3 linked regions of the Schizosaccharomyces pombe genome follow. The protein of the gene in region 3 purifies or fractionates together with the protein of the main gene of each other region. This does not show direct contact. Each region holds a gene or a part of one and is shown on either strand. Other genes may lie near its edges.

The links. Proteins that work in one complex are often made in the same cells at the same time.
Region 1: the proteins of alp16 (region 3) and mod21 purify together in Schizosaccharomyces pombe (affinity purification with western blotting, with the first as the bait; one study listed by BioGRID). This does not show direct contact.
Region 2: the proteins of alp16 (region 3) and alp4 purify together in Schizosaccharomyces pombe (affinity purification with western blotting; 3 studies listed by BioGRID, with this or other methods). This does not show direct contact.

The regions. Positions count from the first base shown.
Region 1 is NC_003424.3:248,079-253,655, reverse strand, and holds mod21 (gamma tubulin complex GCP5 subunit Mod21), read left to right. Parts: upstream 1-2,729; 5' UTR 2,730-2,885; coding exon 2,886-3,049; exon of another isoform or gene 3,050-3,106; coding exon 3,107-4,976; 3' UTR 4,977-5,077; downstream 5,078-5,577. Other genes in the region: fatty acid elongase Elo1, read left to right, coding at 1-66, 904-1,264, 1,319-1,930; nucleoside diphosphate kinase Ndk1, read right to left, coding at 5,273-5,577. UniProt on the Schizosaccharomyces pombe protein: Component of the gamma-tubulin complex that is required for the regulation of both interphase microtubule organization and nucleation, and mitotic bipolar spindles. Required for correct septation.
Region 2 is NC_003423.3:2,521,238-2,527,634, reverse strand, and holds alp4 (gamma tubulin complex GCP2 subunit Alp4), read right to left. Parts: upstream 3,575-6,397; coding exon 1,220-3,574; 3' UTR 501-1,219; downstream 1-500. Other genes in the region: UDP-glucose 4-epimerase Uge1, read left to right, coding at 4,710-4,712, 4,780-4,842, 5,011-6,012. UniProt on the Schizosaccharomyces pombe protein: Component of the gamma tubule complex that is required for the regulation of both interphase microtubules and mitotic bipolar spindles.
Region 3 is NC_003421.2:430,696-437,618, reverse strand, and holds alp16 (gamma tubulin complex GCP6 subunit Alp16), read left to right. Parts: upstream 1-2,832; 5' UTR 2,833-2,944; coding exon 2,945-5,224; 3' UTR 5,225-5,355; downstream 5,356-6,923. Other genes in the region: ribosome biogenesis protein Rix1, read left to right, coding at 1-1,682; SPOM_SPCC306.11 (uncharacterized protein), read right to left, coding at 5,980-6,831. UniProt on the Schizosaccharomyces pombe protein: Component of the gamma tubule complex that is required for the regulation of both interphase microtubules and mitotic bipolar spindles.

The DNA of each region.
Region 1 (5,577 bases), on a different chromosome or scaffold from region 3:
AACCTCTAACAATAATCATCAAGGCATGGCATCTGTTTCGGTAGGACAATTTCAGTATCCCATCTGGTGAGTTTGTCGATATTATGCCTCCGCTAAGCTATTTAACTGTTTTCCATGTTTGCCATAGCTTTGCTCACTAATGTGCCTACATAGTGATGCGTACGTGAATTTCTCTTCTAGAAGATGCTTGCTTTTTTTCCACACAAATCAATCAGTATATATTTTTCGTTTATCCTTGTTCAATGCCTTTCTACTTCCGGCGCTGTTTATTTTGAATTTTCTGAAATTTTGACTGTAGACCAGCCACTTTCTGTTTTGAGTTTTCTTTGTTTTTGACACTCTCCTACCAGCATACCGGTCTTTGTTGTCGTCCTTTCTTTGCTTACCGTTGTTACACTGTCGCTCGCTATATCGTTCCGTTCAGCATCCTCTGTTAGATATTCAATTGATAAAAAGCGGATCGGTATTTCTAGTTTTCGTTGTTGTTTTTTATCATTCCGTTGTTTATTAAGATCTCCACCATGTGGATGCTTAACGGTTCGTAAAGCGAGCTCTTAGCCAATCATTTTCGCTGACGGCCCGATAGACTCGGCAGAGTAGGTGGAATCAACAAGGGTGAAAATTTCGTTAGGTTTACTGAAATTTTTTTCATCCAAAACTTTTTCATCTCAAGTTAAACTCTGTGACTTTTTAGCTGATGTTGGATTGCTGGTATTACTGATTGATTGTGGAATGTTCATCTCTGGGGTGTGTCTTTTTTTGAGGCACATCATGTGTTACTTTTGTGTGTAGTCGTTAAGTACTACCAAACATGAAAGCAAGCGTCTGAAAGAACAATAGAAATTTCACTAGTTTTAATGCGATTGAGAGGCTTTCATGTTGATTTTTACTAACAATTTTTAGGTCATGGTTAAATTCCCTGGCAGATGCCACATTCGGAAAGCGGCCATCTTCCTTTGAATTTATCGTAAACAAAACCCGCTTTTCGTCCGCCCCGGTCGTTGCAACCATCATCATATCTTACTATCTTTTAATTCTTGTCGGAGGTAGAATTATGCGTAATAGGCAACCTATCCGTCTTCAAAAGATTTTCCAATATTATAATTTGACTTTTTCCATCGCTTCAGCTATCCTTGCACTTTTGATTTTTGAACAAGTAGCCCCTGCTATTTACAAGCACGGTTTTTTCTTTTCTATCTGCAATGAGAAAGCATGGACTCAACCGCTGGTATTTTTATACTACTGTGCTTATATTTCAAAATTCGTACGTCTCCATCGTTTTTTGACCATACTTTTTTCATTCTAACATACGTTTTAGCTTGAATTGACAGATACTTTTTTCCTTGTCCTCCGCAAAAAACCCCTTCAATTCCTTCATTGCTACCATCATGGTGCCACTGCCGTTCTTGTATATACTCAAATTGTTGGCAGAACTTCCATCAGTTGGTTGATCATTGAAATCAATTTATTGGTTCATGTTACTATGTATTATTACTACTATCTTGTAGCCAAAGGTATTCGGGTTCCTTGGAAGAAATGGGTCACCCGCTTTCAGATCGTTCAGTTCTTTGCTGATTTAGGTTTTATTTATTTCGCAGTATACACGGAGGTTGCGTATCGGTTGAAGTTTTACAAAGCCTGTATGGGCCATTGCTCAGGACATCCTTTAGCGGCGTTCTGTGGTCTCGCAACAATCTCTTCATACCTTGTTTTGTTTATCGTCTTTTACCATAACACTTACAAGAAAAATGCTGCTCTCAAAATGAAAGCTAAGGCTGCAGCTGCAACAAAAGGTAACTCATCAGAATCTTCTAAAAATGCGGACTTAAAGCGTCTCTCAAAAAGTAACGCTTCTATTGCCGAGGTTAAATGCAATAATATAGTTACTAATCTGTATCCTATTTCTTCAGGTTTAAACAATGAAAAATAATGTTTTCGTGGTACCTCTTATGGTTTTTAATTACCCGATTTTGCTCTTACTTATAACTTGATATTGAGCCCTAAAGTCTACAAGTGCCTTTTTTTTCTTTGTTCTGCTTAACGTTGCATTTAGAATTACCAATTAATAGTTGGAGTGACTTACGGGCGACGATTTTGTGAATTTTGAAAGTACTTAATTGTCCGTTAGCTTTACATCCTTGTCTATATTCGATTACTACCTTTTATCCAGTGAATCCTTTTTCCCATTCCTTAATCAAGATTTATCGACGTCTTTACATGTTCTAAACTTTTTAGCTAAACCTCTACTAAGTATAGATTTGTTAACTTCGTGGTATCTTAAGGTCAAACTTGATGGTGTGATAATATAATTAAAAAAATCAGAGCCAAAATCTTTTCTTCAATATAATGTTCTGAATCTTTTTTTCCAAAGATTAAAAGTCCATTTGTTTAATATTTTATATTAAAAAACCATGGTAATACTAATGCACAACTTATGAAAAATGGGTATAAATTAGTAAGAAAATATACGTTCTAATAACAGTACTACAGTTGTGTAAGGTTGGTAAATTTCTCTGTATAACTTGTAGTCATTGCAAGTGAGCATACGGAATTCATTATTTATTTTGAAGTTTTCTTACTATTTCAGTTAGGGAGCGGCGCCGGTTAATCTAATAACAGTAAATACGTTTAAAACAAAATATATTAGTTTTTTTTTTATTACTATTATAAATGACTTACACAGCTTAACGGCAAATAATGATTAACCCCCTTCAGTCATAAATTGACTCAACTCATTTCTCTCATGTCAAACAAAAATTTTCCTTCATTCGCGATAGTATACGAAATATACACTCCTTAATCGGCATTTTAGCAATATCAGCACATAATAAAGAACATATGAGAATACAGGCAAAGCTTAATAAATGTTTTATCAAGAACTGTAAATGACAATGTCTCGTGCGGATCAAATCCTACAGCATCTCTTAAGGGAACTAATACATAATGATTCATTAGTTGCTAGTGAATGGTTAAAACATTCAAAGAAAATCATTCAAAATGTCCCTAGTTCGACATTGGTATTTCATGAAATGATAGAACATATAAAAGGGTAACGTAAAGCAGATCTGCCGATTGTTGTTGGAATGTTAAGACTAACTTGATCTAGCATCTGTGACAAAATGGGTATACAAGGTCGGGAAGATTTAGAAATGCCTTTACGAAACGCTTGTGAAGTTCTCAATCGTCAAACCGTTAGTGTCAAGCAAAGTATATTGCATGCCCAAATATTAAAACTTTTCCTTGAATTATCTAAACCACCCTCAGATATACATGTCCCACAAATTCCCGTCTACAAAGATTGCAACAAGAATGAACAAGAAGCTATAATCCAGTTATTAACTAGTTGTGAAGGAGACCACTGGTTGATGCCTGACTGGTCTTCAATGCCTGATGATGAAACCATAACAGAAGACTCTGAGGAAGAAACTTTCAATGGAAATGCTAATGAAATTACGATACCAGCCAACATCCACATCCCTATCATCGAGGAGTCTGACAACGCGTCTAACAATAAGCTATGTACTTTATTTAAAAAAAGCAAGCAACCGAATTTAGATTTTTTACAGATAAAACCCTTTATGTTTTGGGATTCTAGTTTGAACGAAACTGTCCGAATATCTGAAAGAAGTATTATTCGCGACTCTATATATATGTTGATAGGTTATCCAAGTTTTTTCTTCTTAAAAAATGGTTCAAAAATTGAAACACGACTTTCTTTATTACCAAAGCTTCATCACATGAGCGAAGAGATTCTTCGCAGTATAATGACAGAACTTGCCGATTACGGTTCTAACTTGGAATTTTTTCGACAAAAACTAACATCTCCTAGCGATTCGTTTTTTAAAAGTGATGACCAAAGTACCAAGAATGAGCCGTTTCTCTCTGTTGTCTTCATTTATCCTCAAATAAAACCACATCTCTTAAGTTGTTTAAAAAACACACACCAAGAGCTTATTAAACTCGAAACAGAAGTTTATAACGCTACAAAGAACTGTACTCTTTTTCAATTTTTTCAACATGTAAAAAAATTCGTTGATCCACTATTGTGCTTTCGTTTCGCTTACGAAAAATCAGCAACGAATATGTGGGATTTTGTTAAAACATTGGAGTTCATATATTCAACAAGGAATTACTCTTCACAAATGTTCAAGCTCTATAAAGCTTCTGCTATTGCAATGTTATTGTGGATGGTTAATCAAGCCTCACAAATTACCAGTTCTATGACTATAGCCAGGCCTCTATATAACATTTTAATCCTTTGTAAGGATTTTCCTAACAATTTCCTTGAGAAAGACAATATTGCTCTCCAATTGGGTAGTATTGTTTTTGACCAATCTCCAACTCTAAACAATTTACTTGTGGAAATGGAAATATTAATTAGAAGCAAAATTTTAAAGCTTGGTAAATCTTTGGATTTATCTTTTGACTTTCAAAGTTTAATGGGGGAGTTTGAAAATTTAATAAAACAACAAGAAGAAGCTAAAAAGTCGTTATGGTCAAAAAGATTTAGTCGTTTCTATTATGGGCATTATGTATTCGTCAACACCTGTCATAATTTTTTCCTAACACTATATCAATCTTTTACTGAAGTTGATGAAAATTCTATATTCAACGGCGTTTTTGAAACGCTTAATAATGATGTTGATGATGAATCTGTAATAGGGGAAAAAGAGAAACTTATTTTAAAGCAAAAGCAGAAATGTTTATCTGAATTTTTTGTTGATGACATAAAGAAGCTCTTAAATGAAGAGCTGCTCAATTGTCAAAAGCAAGAGCTACCAGATGTCATGGAAAATACATATCAAATTTCGACCGTTTCAGGAATTAAAAATGATCCGTTATTTACGTTGGACCAAACCTGTAATATAATAGCGAAACTAGCGGACAATCTCATACATCCTTCTGTTCCCATTGGTAGTTCTGCCTATCGATGTAGACGAAATTTGGCTGACTTATTATTCCTTATAATGCCATGATTACGATAAAATGCCATAATATTTACCATTACGTGTATAGAATCAATAGATTTCATAAAAGTAACCTTTTGGATGAGTAAAACCATACTGACTTACATGCGATTTCTCTAGTTTCATGTCGTTTACTAACGAATGATATTTGAAAAAGACCTATATCTATTAAAAAAAATGATAGTGTGCTTTAATGAAGGTAGAAAATCATTAGTCATATTTATTTGCTTTGGGTGTTGCTGATAGTTTGCATCACCCATAACAAACACGAGTCCTTTTGAAGAGGCTCTTTAACTTCTTCTTATTCATTCGTAAATCCAAGGTTCAATTGTACGATCGTAAACTTGGATTTCCGAAGGCTGGAACCAAAGTTTAATTTCACGATTAGCGCTTTCTATGGAATCAGAACCATGGCAAACGTTTCTACCAAGGTCGATACCATAATCACCGCGAATAGTGCCAGGGGCAGAATCCAGAGGGTTACTGGCGCCCAACATTAAGCGACCAGTTTTCACGGCTTGTTTACCTTCCCATATCATGGCACATACAGGGCCTGATGCCATGAAACCAACGAGTTTCTCATAAAAAGGCTTTCCTTTATGTTCGGCAT
Region 2 (6,397 bases), on a different chromosome or scaffold from region 3:
CTGTAAAGTATATTTGCTAGTTTCTAATTATTTCTTTCTCCCTCTCTCTGTTTCTCTTGTTTCCTCTTACATGGTGGGGGATTGATAATTTTGGGCAATCCACTGTGAGATAAGTTTTCGTTTTTCTTACTCCTTGATGCGATAATTCTAAAGTCATATGATTCCTTTGCCTCACACCCAGCTATCGCCCCCATACTTAATCATACAATCTGTACTCACTTTTCATAGTAACTCTATCCTTTCGTAATAACCATCCTACACTAATCTAAATTGACGTTTTCCTTCGATATTACAATTTTTGTATGCGCTTTACTAGCTTACCTGTTCCTTTGTTTACGCATCCATTAAACTTTTAACTGCAAAATACAATTACTAGAAATTCATTACGAGTGCACACAAATGAATAGTTTTGCGTATACAATACTATAACCACCTAAATTAAACCTTGGTTTGGTTTTTATATACATACATCATCATCATTACTGTCGTAGCAACTGTACTTCTTCACATAACAAAGTTCATTACTATAGCTGTCTATGGTACAAACGTTAGCATACATTGTATCACTTCAAAATCAATCGATAGCTCTTTAGACTAGGAACAAATGCTTAGCCTCTCTCTTCGTTCTTCCTCAATCACGCGGCATACTGCCGACTTGCCTTAAATTTAGCGACATAGCTAATAAAAAATTAGCGATCAAAAATCCAAGTTACCATTCCTCAGGCATTATCAGCAAACCCTGTTTCAGACATTTTAAAAAATCGATTATTTTTTATATAACACAAGTGTTGGCATATTAAACGCTCGCCATGCCTTTCTCCATAATCATTCTTAAATTCATGGCCAATGGCAGTCGTCTTTTTGTCAATTTTTAACCGAATAGTGCAGTACGCTTTTAGTGTGACAACTGGCCAAAAAAAAGTCCAAACTACTGAAAATGGACCAATGTATACTGCGGATAAGCAATGCTTGTTTATGAAGATAATTGGCCATTCCGCAAGATCCTCACTCCAAGTCATTTCTTTATTAACGAGTACAAGCAACAAGATGTCAAAGATAAGGTTATCCAAAAACCGACTATATAAATATCCATAAAAGTTTTTCTCCCAATTTCCATTGCTGTTTGTCAGATGTTTCTTCATATCTCAATAAAACAATAGTAACGTTGTTCCATTTGTAGTTTTTCTACCTTGCCTTGTTTTATCTTGTCTCTTCTTAGTTATCCCGTCAATTTCATTACTAAACTTAAAAGAGCCGCCGTCTCAGTACTTGCAAAGTAGTTACAAGCATTCACTAAGGATTTTAAATGACGACTAAAACTGTCTTCGTACCGGCGTAAAATTTCTTCCATCTTATCCATTCTTCCTTCATCAAAGCTTTCTTCGGAATTCTCAAGCAAATATAAGGATCGGGTAAACGTGGAAGTATAAGAGGCAAACATAGCACAAGTATTAAGTAATTTAGATTGTACTTTAAGTAATCGCGAGTTAGTAAGCATGCATTCTTTTAGACACGTATCCAAAAAATCGATATGCTCCTGCATTAAATTATCCACAGTTCGGGCGTTCTCAAGTTCTCCCATAAATTTCCCCCAATGTGTTTCAATCACCTCACTTGTAGTATAGTAGATTATTTTTTGAACAAAACTAAGCATTCGTGTCCTTAATAACCAGCTGTTCCTTTTCCATTGTTCGATTTTCGCATTGGAGGAATTGAGACGCCAAGCACTATTCTTGCTGTGCTGCACCCAACTATTCTCAAGTTGCATTTCAACGTGACGAAGTAAAAGAAAATATCTGAACAAAAGTTGATATCGAATAATAGCTTTGCGGGATAAAATAAGTGAAAGGGGAAATGGAACTTTATAGCATAGTTGCATCGTTTCAAATCCATTAATATCTTTATCGCTACCAACTTTTGAAGTCCCCTGTGTGCTCCGATTGTGTTCACTCTCAAAATTTCGAGTTTCATTGCCCACATCCGCTTGCTTCGTGATTGATTCATTCCAAACTTCGTTTCCCTGAGATGATGTTCCTTCTTCCAAACCACTGATACTTACAATATGCATGAGCCAGTCTATTAATGATGTTTGATTCACTTCTACAGTCACGTATTCTTTATGTGGATCAGTCGCAGTTATCGTACCAGGCTGACGAAGGGCTAAATCTAATTGCGACTGCAACTTCGTGATAGATATATACTTTGCAGGTTTTCGTAGCTCGTGTTGAGCATTGTCAAGAAATGTTGTAAAAAAGTCAGATTGATCAAGGAAAAAATAATGTTTGAGCGAGTACAGATGAGCGTAAAGAGACTGTGAAGACTGGAGTAATTGCAAGAGAGATTCATTTGCATAAACATAGGCATTCATGATATTTAAAGTAAAGTTATCATCATCGAAGGTTGAAGGCCAGAGCAACTGGTTTTGAGTATCGTCTTTTGCATTTAACGAAGCCAGGTTATTAACTCCCTTCCTACACTCTAAAACGACGTTCAAATACTTGCCTGCAAAGAGTACCTTGTTTTGTAAATCAAGCAATTGTGGAGGAACTTGATCCTCTCGAATCACGTATCGTTTTTCCCAATATTCATCTGTGTAGTCTTCATCAAGTTGCATAGATGTGATTCCTTTGTGTATTTTTATCATAAATTCATCATATGGGTCATTTACGAGCCCGAGATGGATCCACTCATTCAACATTTTTGTATAAGGGCGTGAAGCTTCGCGCAATAAATAGGTTAGGATTTTTCGTGCCACAGGATCACCCGCATATTTCGTAAGACTTTCGGTCAAAAAAGAAATGACTTGCCCACCTTTACAAACCTTTTTCTTAGACCTAGTGGCATTAACAACATGTGAAATGTCATTTCCTTCATTAAGTTGCTCTAAAAGATCGTCGATGTTACTAAGACCTAAATCATCGCTGCTGGAAGCATTCTTTTCCATAGACAAAAGCAGGTCACGTAGAATTAAATACACTTGTCGTAATGAACGCGATGTGGGAAGAGTATAAAGGCGAAGAGTTTGAAGAGAAAAATTTGGATCAATTCGGCTCTGATTTTCACACTGCATGATAAGTACCACGTAGTCCATCACAAACTTTCGCAAAGCAGCGCACAATGCGTGGTTAACAAATCCGTATTCAAAATGGCTTCTCGATTCTATAAAAGCTGTGATACTTAAATAATGAGACCCCATCTCTAACATCTCAGAAGCAATATCCTTTATACCTAAATCAAATCCAGGAAGAATATAAAACGATGGCGGCATAATAATGGTTTCAAACTCAGAGGATGCTTTCATGTCTTGGAGATGTACAAATACACCCTCCATGCCCATAAATGCATTTAAGAGTTCGTTTATGAGACATGCTTCCTGCTGATGGATATTTAAGTTCGAAGGATCGCTAAAAGTCTTCCCATCGTAAAGATAATTTAATTGAATCCTATCAGAAAATGGAGAAACACCTTCACTCTTCAAAGAGACATGATAAACGCTCCCTTCCTCGAGAGCTGGAATTGGACTCCCATTCTCGCTTTCTTCTTTAGCAAGCACCGAACTAATCGATCTCACCATTTAAAGAGTCTTTTTTTATATAATCTACAAAAGTGTGAACATTTATTTAATATTTAGTGCTCTTTGTAATTATTATTCGGATATGCTTGTTTACCAGCAGGCCAGTTTTAAGATGTAGGTTGGTAAGTATGCGCCAGCTAACAATCAACGCAATTTCAAAGCAAACCAACTCAGGTCCGTGTAGCATTAAAAAATGCAAAAAAGTATAAAAAAAATTAGTCAAAAAATACATAACTAGAAGACTGCAGCATTTTCTATTGTAAGACTACCGTAAACTCAAAGGACCCCAAATACTCATTCGAGTATATATGGATAGCAGTAGACAGTGACAAATTCTATATGCTAGAGTTTATTTTGAATGGATAAAAATTTTAGATCCTAAGCTTGAGGGATTTATTCCCTTCATCTTTTTTTTTTTTTTTTTTTTTTTTTTTTTGTTGTGTTTAAATTTTTTATTCTAATGCAGACTACTTCGCTTTATTTACTAGCCAGTAGGTAATATTTGCATAATAAAAGCAATAAATTTAGCTCGGTTTTATGTTAATTATACATTTACTTGTTATTTCTTTAACAAAATAAATTTTTTCAAAAATACATATAAGCATCAATGATTTATTTACAGATAAAATGCTTTTCTAGGGAAGCAAGGATTTTGTAGTCGCATGAAGCTGGTGGTGAAATCACAAACATTACATCTATCAAAGTGTATATTGGTTGTAAAATCTCGAGTTCATCTTTTAAAAAAATAAATACAAAAAAAAAATTTATTGGTAAATGCACATACATTAAATTACTACCTCAATGCTTTATGAACATGAAAAATCCATACACCTAATCACAGGCATTCATCTGCTATACACTTATTCCGACGACCTCTTTGTTACTATATAATATTATGATTAGGAATTTTTTAGCGATATATCAATAAAATGGTTTAGCGAGATATACAAGCACTTTTCACTTTTAGCTTAAGCTTCATTGTGGCTTTTGCTCGTTTTACATCATGTCAGGTTACAGGAGGTAACGACCTGCATTGATACCTTGAGCATGTAGGAAACTGAATATCCAACAAAGAAAGAGCATAATAGCTACAGTCTTGAGCCCACCCCTTTAATATCAAATTATAACGTGTAAAATGGTATGAATAACTTTTTTAATTAATCAAAAGCATTCTTTTGTATGAAAATACTAATTATGATTCATAGACTGGTGTTCATGAAGGGACTGTGTTGGTTACTGGCGGCGCTGGTTATATAGGTTCTCATACGGTACGTAGAGAGCTTGAAGATACAGAAGAGGATTAGTAATGTACATGTAAATGTTTTAAGCACGCATCTTTTGTGAATATAGCTTGCTGCTCTTTACTTTTATACAATTTCGTCCATATTCTATAAAGCTCTTTTTTGAGATATTTTGCTAACCACAATCTGCAATAGTGCGTTGTTTTGTTAGAAAAAGGATATGATGTTGTAATTGTCGATAATTTATGCAATTCTCGCGTTGAAGCCGTGCACCGCATTGAAAAACTCACTGGGAAAAAAGTCATATTCCACCAGGTGGATTTGCTTGATGAGCCAGCTTTGGACAAGGTCTTCGCAAATCAAAACATATCTGCTGTCATTCATTTTGCTGGTCTCAAAGCAGTTGGTGAATCTGTACAGGTTCCTTTGAGTTATTACAAAAATAACATTTCCGGTACCATTAATTTAATAGAGTGCATGAAGAAGTATAATGTACGTGACTTCGTCTTTTCTTCATCTGCTACCGTGTATGGCGATCCTACTAGACCTGGTGGTACCATTCCTATTCCAGAGTCATGCCCTCGTGAAGGTACAAGCCCATATGGTCGCACAAAGCTTTTCATTGAAAATATCATTGAGGATGAGACCAAGGTGAACAAATCGCTTAATGCAGCTTTATTACGCTATTTTAATCCCGGAGGTGCTCATCCCTCTGGTGAACTCGGTGAAGATCCTCTTGGCATCCCTAATAACTTGCTTCCTTATATCGCGCAAGTTGCTGTAGGAAGATTGGATCATTTGAATGTATTTGGCGACGATTATCCCACATCTGACGGTACTCCAATTCGTGACTACATTCACGTATGCGATTTGGCAGAGGCTCATGTTGCTGCTCTCGATTACCTGCGCCAACATTTTGTTAGTTGCCGCCCTTGGAATTTGGGATCAGGAACTGGTAGTACTGTTTTTCAGGTGCTCAATGCGTTTTCGAAAGCTGTTGGAAGAGATCTTCCTTATAAGGTCACCCCTAGAAGAGCAGGGGACGTTGTTAACCTAACCGCCAACCCCACTCGCGCTAACGAGGAGTTAAAATGGAAAACCAGTCGTAGCATTTATGAAATTTGCGTTGACACTTGGAGATGGCAACAGAAGTATCCCTATGGCTTTGACCTGACCCATACCAAGACATATAAGTAAACCATACTCTTCCTTTTCGGATTAAGTGGGTTTTAAATAATTTCCTTCTCTTTCTTGATTCAAATTTGCATAATATGTTTTAGGACTTATGGATTCAAAGACATTATAATGTATTGTTTGATGAACCCTTTTCCCTTTCCTGTACCTTAATTGTTTATTGTAAGTGCGCTCGAGCTATCGATTAGGTCGCTAATAATACCGGTTTGCGAATAACTTATGTTTTAAAAGGGATTTAACAATGAAGCTTATTTCAAAACAATCACTTTCGGTTTACATTTTTATTTCTTTCTTTTGCATACGCATTTTCGTCAAGTTGACATTTTTTCTAATATTGAAGTTTCTTTATATTTCACCTTTTAATTGTATTTTTTTATTCAAAGGTTCT
Region 3 (6,923 bases):
CAAAACTCAAAGGCCACTACGAAGAAACTTATCAGAAAGCTTTACACAGATGCAGAACTCTAAACTTGATTTTAATTTCTTTTTTAAGTACAAAGACGGATAAAATCGTTTTGCTTCCCATAAATGCTTTGAAGGATTTAATTCAACGTGTTTATACTGTACAACTTTCATTGCCTGTTAAAAGCGTAGAAAGTTCAGTTCAAGCTTTGCTATTCATGGTCCTTCCTCATTTGCATACGCTAGTTAATGAGTTAACCTTAAAGCTTTTTGTGGTAATTCCTCCAGCTATCATTCTTTCATTTGATTCTTACCTGGATTCATTAAATGATTGTTTACTTTCTGAGTCAACACATACTGGGGTTTTATGCTCTTCTTTAAAGTTACTTTCAAAGTTTTTGGATGTGACACATATGAATGTCCCTCTTTCAAAATACGAAAATATTGTAACGCTGGTATTAGAATATCTTGCTAATTCCTCTAAAGGTTTAGCATCCAAATCCATAGAGTTCTCTAAAAATCGTGGGCATTCTCAAAAAAAGCGAAAAACACTTTCTGAAAGTCAAGCAGGAGATACACTTATGAGTTCGGAAGAGTCTCATCAGCTTTATGATTCAGATGTCATGGATTGTTGTTTTTCTTTTTTAGCATCCATTTTGACTCATTCAATAGCATTACCACGTTTATTACGGACCAAAATAGATCTTTGCACCTTGCAGATATCTTTGTCTAACCCTACCTCAACAGTTTTGATATCTATGCATAATTTACTCCTTGCGTCAATTTTATCACCGGGAGATTCACAAGCAGTGATAGTACCTCATGCAATACGTATAATTTCTGGTCCATTAGGGCTTGTACATCCAGATCCTCTGGTCGCTTCACACGCAAGGTCATCGATGCAAACAATAGAATCGCTGATTCATCCTAGGTTCCCACCTTTGCAAAAACATCTTTCACCAAGCGAATTTGAAAATACGTTTGAGTCAAGATTTGAGCCTGTTTCTCTTGAAAACCAATCGCATATTTCTCCACCCCAGGTGGATTCTCAATCAGAGTATAAAGAAAGTAGTATTTTGGCTCCATCAAATCCTCCCTTTGAAACAGAGTCGATTACAGATTCCACTGAAATTGAAGGGATCAAAGAGTCTTTTGCATCTACAGATACAGGCTTACAGAATAATTCTACAGCTACCTCCGAGAACAAAAGAAGCGAATCAGAGCTGACTATGTCTAATGTTCTTTCTAATGAGGGTGACAGAAATGAAGAAGGTAGTGAAATCAACTCTTCTCAACCTTCAACTATTAATCACGGGACTGATCACATTAACATTGTTTCGGAAAACAAGGAAACAACTGTTTCACTGTTGCATGGAGATGTTGAGGTTGAGGAGACTACAAATGTTGCATTAAACAATTCTCAGGACACTGAAACCAAATTTACTGCTATAGACGTTGACTTTGTTGACCGACCTACTAGTGTAGTTTCAAGCCAAATTGAAAACATAAATGGTGATGAAAATGGAAACACAACTTCTTCAGTCGTCGAAACTTTTGAAAAAACAACGGATGTCGTAGATGAGAAAACGACTTCTATTAATGTGGAAGGAAACGGAGAAGATGATGAGGAGGAAGACAATATCTCTTTGCCAAGTATAAACTTGGAATCTGATAGTGATAGTTAGTCTTAATTTATAAAAAGGATTTGGGGGTACTGAATGTTTATTTTAAATTCTATTTCTAGATAAGTAGGTTGTCATTTAATCCAAGCTGATTTTTATAAAGTCCTGTATGTATTATCGTCATGGCAAAAAAGGTACATCAAGCTGATATTTGGAGGTTAAAATCAATTGATTTTGACCTCCAGAATACATTGCTTATGTGTTCTCCTTTTTAATTAGCTAAATTTTCCAGTAATACAAAGTACAAAGTCTTGTGTTATCCGCAAAAATTTTTAATTAATCATTTTTATACCATTGGTGTCACAAAAATCCCGATTATTTTAGAGTTAGACTGTCGTTTATGTTTTTTGAGAAAGAATTAAAACAACTTATCTAGTCTAGTGTTTAAAAGAATTTTATACTGTTTCATTAAGAATAATGAAGATATCCCTTTCCAAAGGCAAAAGAAAAGTCGATAACTATATAATGCAAGCTTCTAAACAAACTTGAATTAGTGATTGCAACATTTCTTTTGCCAACAATATTTAAATCCTTCATTGCTTGACACATGGTTTTATGAGAAAAATTAAGAAAGAACATTAAGTACTTCAAATAAATTTGTTGAAGGATCCAAAATTCTCCAAATAGACTTTTTTTATATGAAGATACCATTCATTCAGCTTTGACTCGCATGCGAGCTCTCTGGACAATAAACGATCAAGCCAGCGAGGTATACTGTAACCATAATATCACGAATAGTACAATAAACTTTTTTTTAAAAAAATCTAAATGTACTAACCAGAGAAGCATAAAAGAGCTCTTATAGTTCCATAAAGGATACGTTTTATCCACATAGCACTCTCTTAAAATTAAATGCTGGAATGTCGTTTTGGATAGATTATGCAATTGTGCAATAGTAATTCCTTAACAACTGATAGTTTTTGTTCAATTTATCATTCTGTTTTATTCATCCTGGATACCTTTAACTCCATGTCAGTATTTTCTGTTGTACGGCCACGAGAGTACGGATTTTTGAATTGGTTTCAATGTTAGGATCAATTACTAACGTTCCATTTCTTAGTTTAAGAGACGCATACTTCATTCACATCTTCTAATCCTGACTGTTCTAGATAAGAAGTCATCTTAATTCGCTACGTTAACAACATTATACATTAACTACACACATATTGCCAAATTTTAGTAATTCATAACAAGAGTGTTTTCCAGTAAAGGAGTTGGATCTTGAAATGTACCACTAAAATAGATGATTTTGAAATAAAAATGGAATGGATGGAATTATGAAAAACGACTTGTTATGGTTCGGCAACCACGTTTTCGACCTTACGCCAAATTCATTTGATTCTGATTTTGTCGAGCAGCTTTCGAAATTTGAGGGAAAAGAAGGATTGAAGAGGAAGTTATTTGACTCCTCGGAATACTTTCAAAACTTTTCATTTCAAGTAAACGATGATCTGTTGGGAAAAGATGTCATTCTCGATATTTCAAATCAACAACTAACACCCGCTGTGCCTGGGTGTGAGACATCATCCAATTCCAAACTCATAAGCGCATCTAAGGAAATTACTTCAGAAAGAAAAAGAGCTAAATCCTCAGTGTCCCCCTCTTATCTTACAGATTCATCACCCAGCGATTTATCTGTCGAAAACAAAGTTCTGCTAACATGCCCTAGCTGGGATGGAGAAAATTTTAAAAATTTAGAAGCTAGATCTCCATTCATATCTGAAGCGCCTTCTCGGGTATATGATTATTTTCTTCATAATCAGGATTGGAGTCCGAAACCATTATTTTCTGCACTGCAAGTTTACCCTTTAGCAACTATTTTCAATTGCGTGGCTGGTTTACCACAAGGATTTGAAAGCACAGTGTTTCCATGGAACAAAACCTCAAGCACATTTGAACTCGATCCGACCATCTCCGTTTCAGGAATGTCCGATGAATGTTTTGCTAGTATCGTCCAGAAATTTTCTGCAATTGGGGGTTTAATAAAAAAAGCTTTAAATGAATTCTCTTTATACAAGACCAACATTTCTTTTTATTTATCAAATTTCATTGTGAATGGTGTCTTGCAGTATCGAAAGGAGTTTCAGCGTTGGCTTCGTCTTTATGAGTTCCGTAGATTCGGTCTGATTGGTTTAAGTAACTTTGTTAATTCTTTTTCTTCATTCTTTGAGTTAATTTCACACTTCTTAATAAAATCGGCTCAAAACCTAAAAGGAGATTCCTTGTTAGATTTTCTTTTTGATTATGCGCGTTCATGTCAGAATACCATATCTTACCCCATTGCCCTACAGTGCTTGATATATTGCTCAAATCCCTACTTCAAAAGGCTTGAGCTTGCTTTAAAAGTTTCTTGTGCGTATGGTCACATTGATTCTTCATTGTTCTTATCACTTCCCCGTTTTTTTCCTTCTGAACTTTGTGTAAGCATTGAACAGTGTATTCAATTTTTGTCATTAATAAGGGAACAAAAAGAAATATTTAATAAAAACAACAAAGAATTTATTAACCCTTTGAACATTCGGTTCGCATATTCTTTCAACGACATAAATCAAGCTTGTGTAATAGAGGAGCGCTGCAACTTTTCTTCGCTTTCTTTTGGTAATTTGGAACAAACTTCCGTCAATAATGACAGTGAAGAATTTGAAACGCTGCTTGCTAAAATGAACATGACTCCAGATTTCAACGATAATTTATTACAACTTAAATTTACAGATGATGTGCGCAACGTCTGTCCGCTTAACTTGAATGTTTGCTGCTGTATTGCTGAGCCAATACAATCTTTTATTCTCAGTTTCTTACGTTCGACATATAAAGTTTTAAAAAACGATTTTCAGGTGTTTGATCTTTTAAATTTTTTTCATTCCACTTTTCTTTTTCAAAATTATGAATTCTCTGATAATGTCATTTCTCTGTTAAAATCAAGAAGGCTTGATAAATCTGACCGTAATGAGTTGGCTGAGGACTTGAACTCTGATGACAGATATAATTTTATTTCTCGATTGAAAAAATTCATTTTTATGGAAAAAGAAAAAAATGGGTTGAGCAGGTCTTTATCTAAGAGTATAACTTTTACATTGGATTCTGCGAGCGTTAGTGAATTTGAGGATGTGTACCCTGATTTACAATTCCAATGCCAAGTAATAGGTGCTTTACGGATATTATTTACTGATAACTCTTTAAATTATTATTCGAAAACTTTTTCTTACGTTTTACATCTCTTTCAAGCTCAATCAGACTTTGAATCATCTGTCGAATTGAAAGATCGTTCTATAGTAACAAAAACAACTATTATGTCATGGTCTAAGTATCAAGGCACGAAAGAATCTCTTTTTCAGTTTCTTTCAATATACATTCCAGAGTGTATGTTGCCTTTTACGAAATTACTGAAATCCATATATTCTCCTGACTGTCCTACGAACATACAAAATTCTGCAATTAAAAATGCGGCTTCAGTTCACGAGCAGTGCACTAAAGCAATTTATCAAAAGGTCAAAGAGTTGTTTGATACCATGAAACTCTGGGAGTCATCCATCAAAGTGTCATAACAAAAAACCAGATCCGGATGACGGATTTTTACGAGTGTAAACATGCTAATCTCACCTTTAAGTTTGAAGAATATACGATTTTACAGCAGAAAAAAATTTATAAGCACAACACTTACAGAAAATTCCTTGCATAAAATGATAAAGAATGTAAAGAAGTATTTGGATAAATTCATGAGTAAAGTATTTACTAGAGATATATCTTAATCTAAGTTTAAACAACCTGTGCCAAACAAAAGGAAATTAATTTAACAAAGAAAGGGATGAAGAATTAAAAGGAATCAAAATAGAAATGAACAGTCAAGCTTATGATTGATTGTTTGAAGATCAAACATATCAAGGTAAAGTGCCATGATCACAGGAAAATACGCAATGTAGTTTAGTAAGTTATTTTGGTGCAAAAATATATGCGCTTTAATGGTGGAACATACCAGTATGTCCCACTTAATTTGCTCGTTCAAAAAATGCATGCAAAAAAAAAAAAAAAGATACAAATCTGTAAATACCTCACGCAAATATAAGAGTGCAAATAAAGACATGTTGAGAAAAGAGTAGAGGCAAAAGCCAAAAGATAAAAATCTTACTGGACGCCTATCACTTTGGTGAAGTTGAGGGTAAACGGACAAGGAATGCATGAAAAAGGAAGGAGGTAAGTGATAATTTAATGTTAGCAAGGAAGACATGCAAGTAAGGAACAAGTGCCCATGTTCCTTATTTTAGATTTTTTTTAAAGAAAAAGGGAATCTATGCGAAATCCTTTACCACAAGAAGGCATTGTCACGGTAGTTAAAGACACTGGTAATGTTTGGATTTATTTTGGAAGTAGTGTTAACAATAACATGGTCATCGGCAACAGGGATACGACTGTCGTTGGTATATACACAAATACCTTGACCTTTATAGCCAATATTACGGCAAGTAGCACCACCAAATGGAGTGCGCAAAGCAGAGTTACAATTAACGGGGTATTGGGTGCCATTGAAGCAAGTGTTAACCAAGTAAGGGTAATCCGTATTACACAAAGTCATGTTGCAAGACCAATCCATTGAGGAATCACGAGTGAATAAGATGGGTTGATCAACAATGTTGGTATAGCTTAAAGATATACCGGAAGAACGCTTGCTGTGAGTGCTCGTACTTCCCGAACTAACGGAAGTGGTCACGTTGATAACATTTGCATTGTCAAAGTTGGAAGAATTAGCGCTAGTGGAGTAGTTGGAGGATCCGATCTGACAAAGACCGCGAGTTAGTCCGTAGGAAGAATTGGTTTCAACACATGCGGAACCACGACCCTTGGGATAACCAAGCACAGTAGGGCAGTTCAAGAGAACAGTGCTATGATTAGCGCAAATGGCAATTACATCGGGTGAAACACAAAGGTTGGAGCCACTTACATGGCAATATGTACCTTCCGAAATATTATAATAGGAGGTAGAAGCTATAGCAGAACTCAAGTCAGGAAATGTGTCAGTTGCACGCTTATATAAAGAAATCTCACGCCTTTTACAAGCAGGAGCACCTGGTATGCCACAAAGCTTGATGGACGAGACATAGGAGAACGAGCAAAGGAAAAAGATGGCCGAAATCGCAAAAGAGGCAAATGCAAACATTTTTTTTATAAAATTAAAATGTGAGAGTACGTAAAGTAATTTTTGGAGACGATAATTTTGAGAACGGAAAATGCAATTGAAAATAGGGGGAA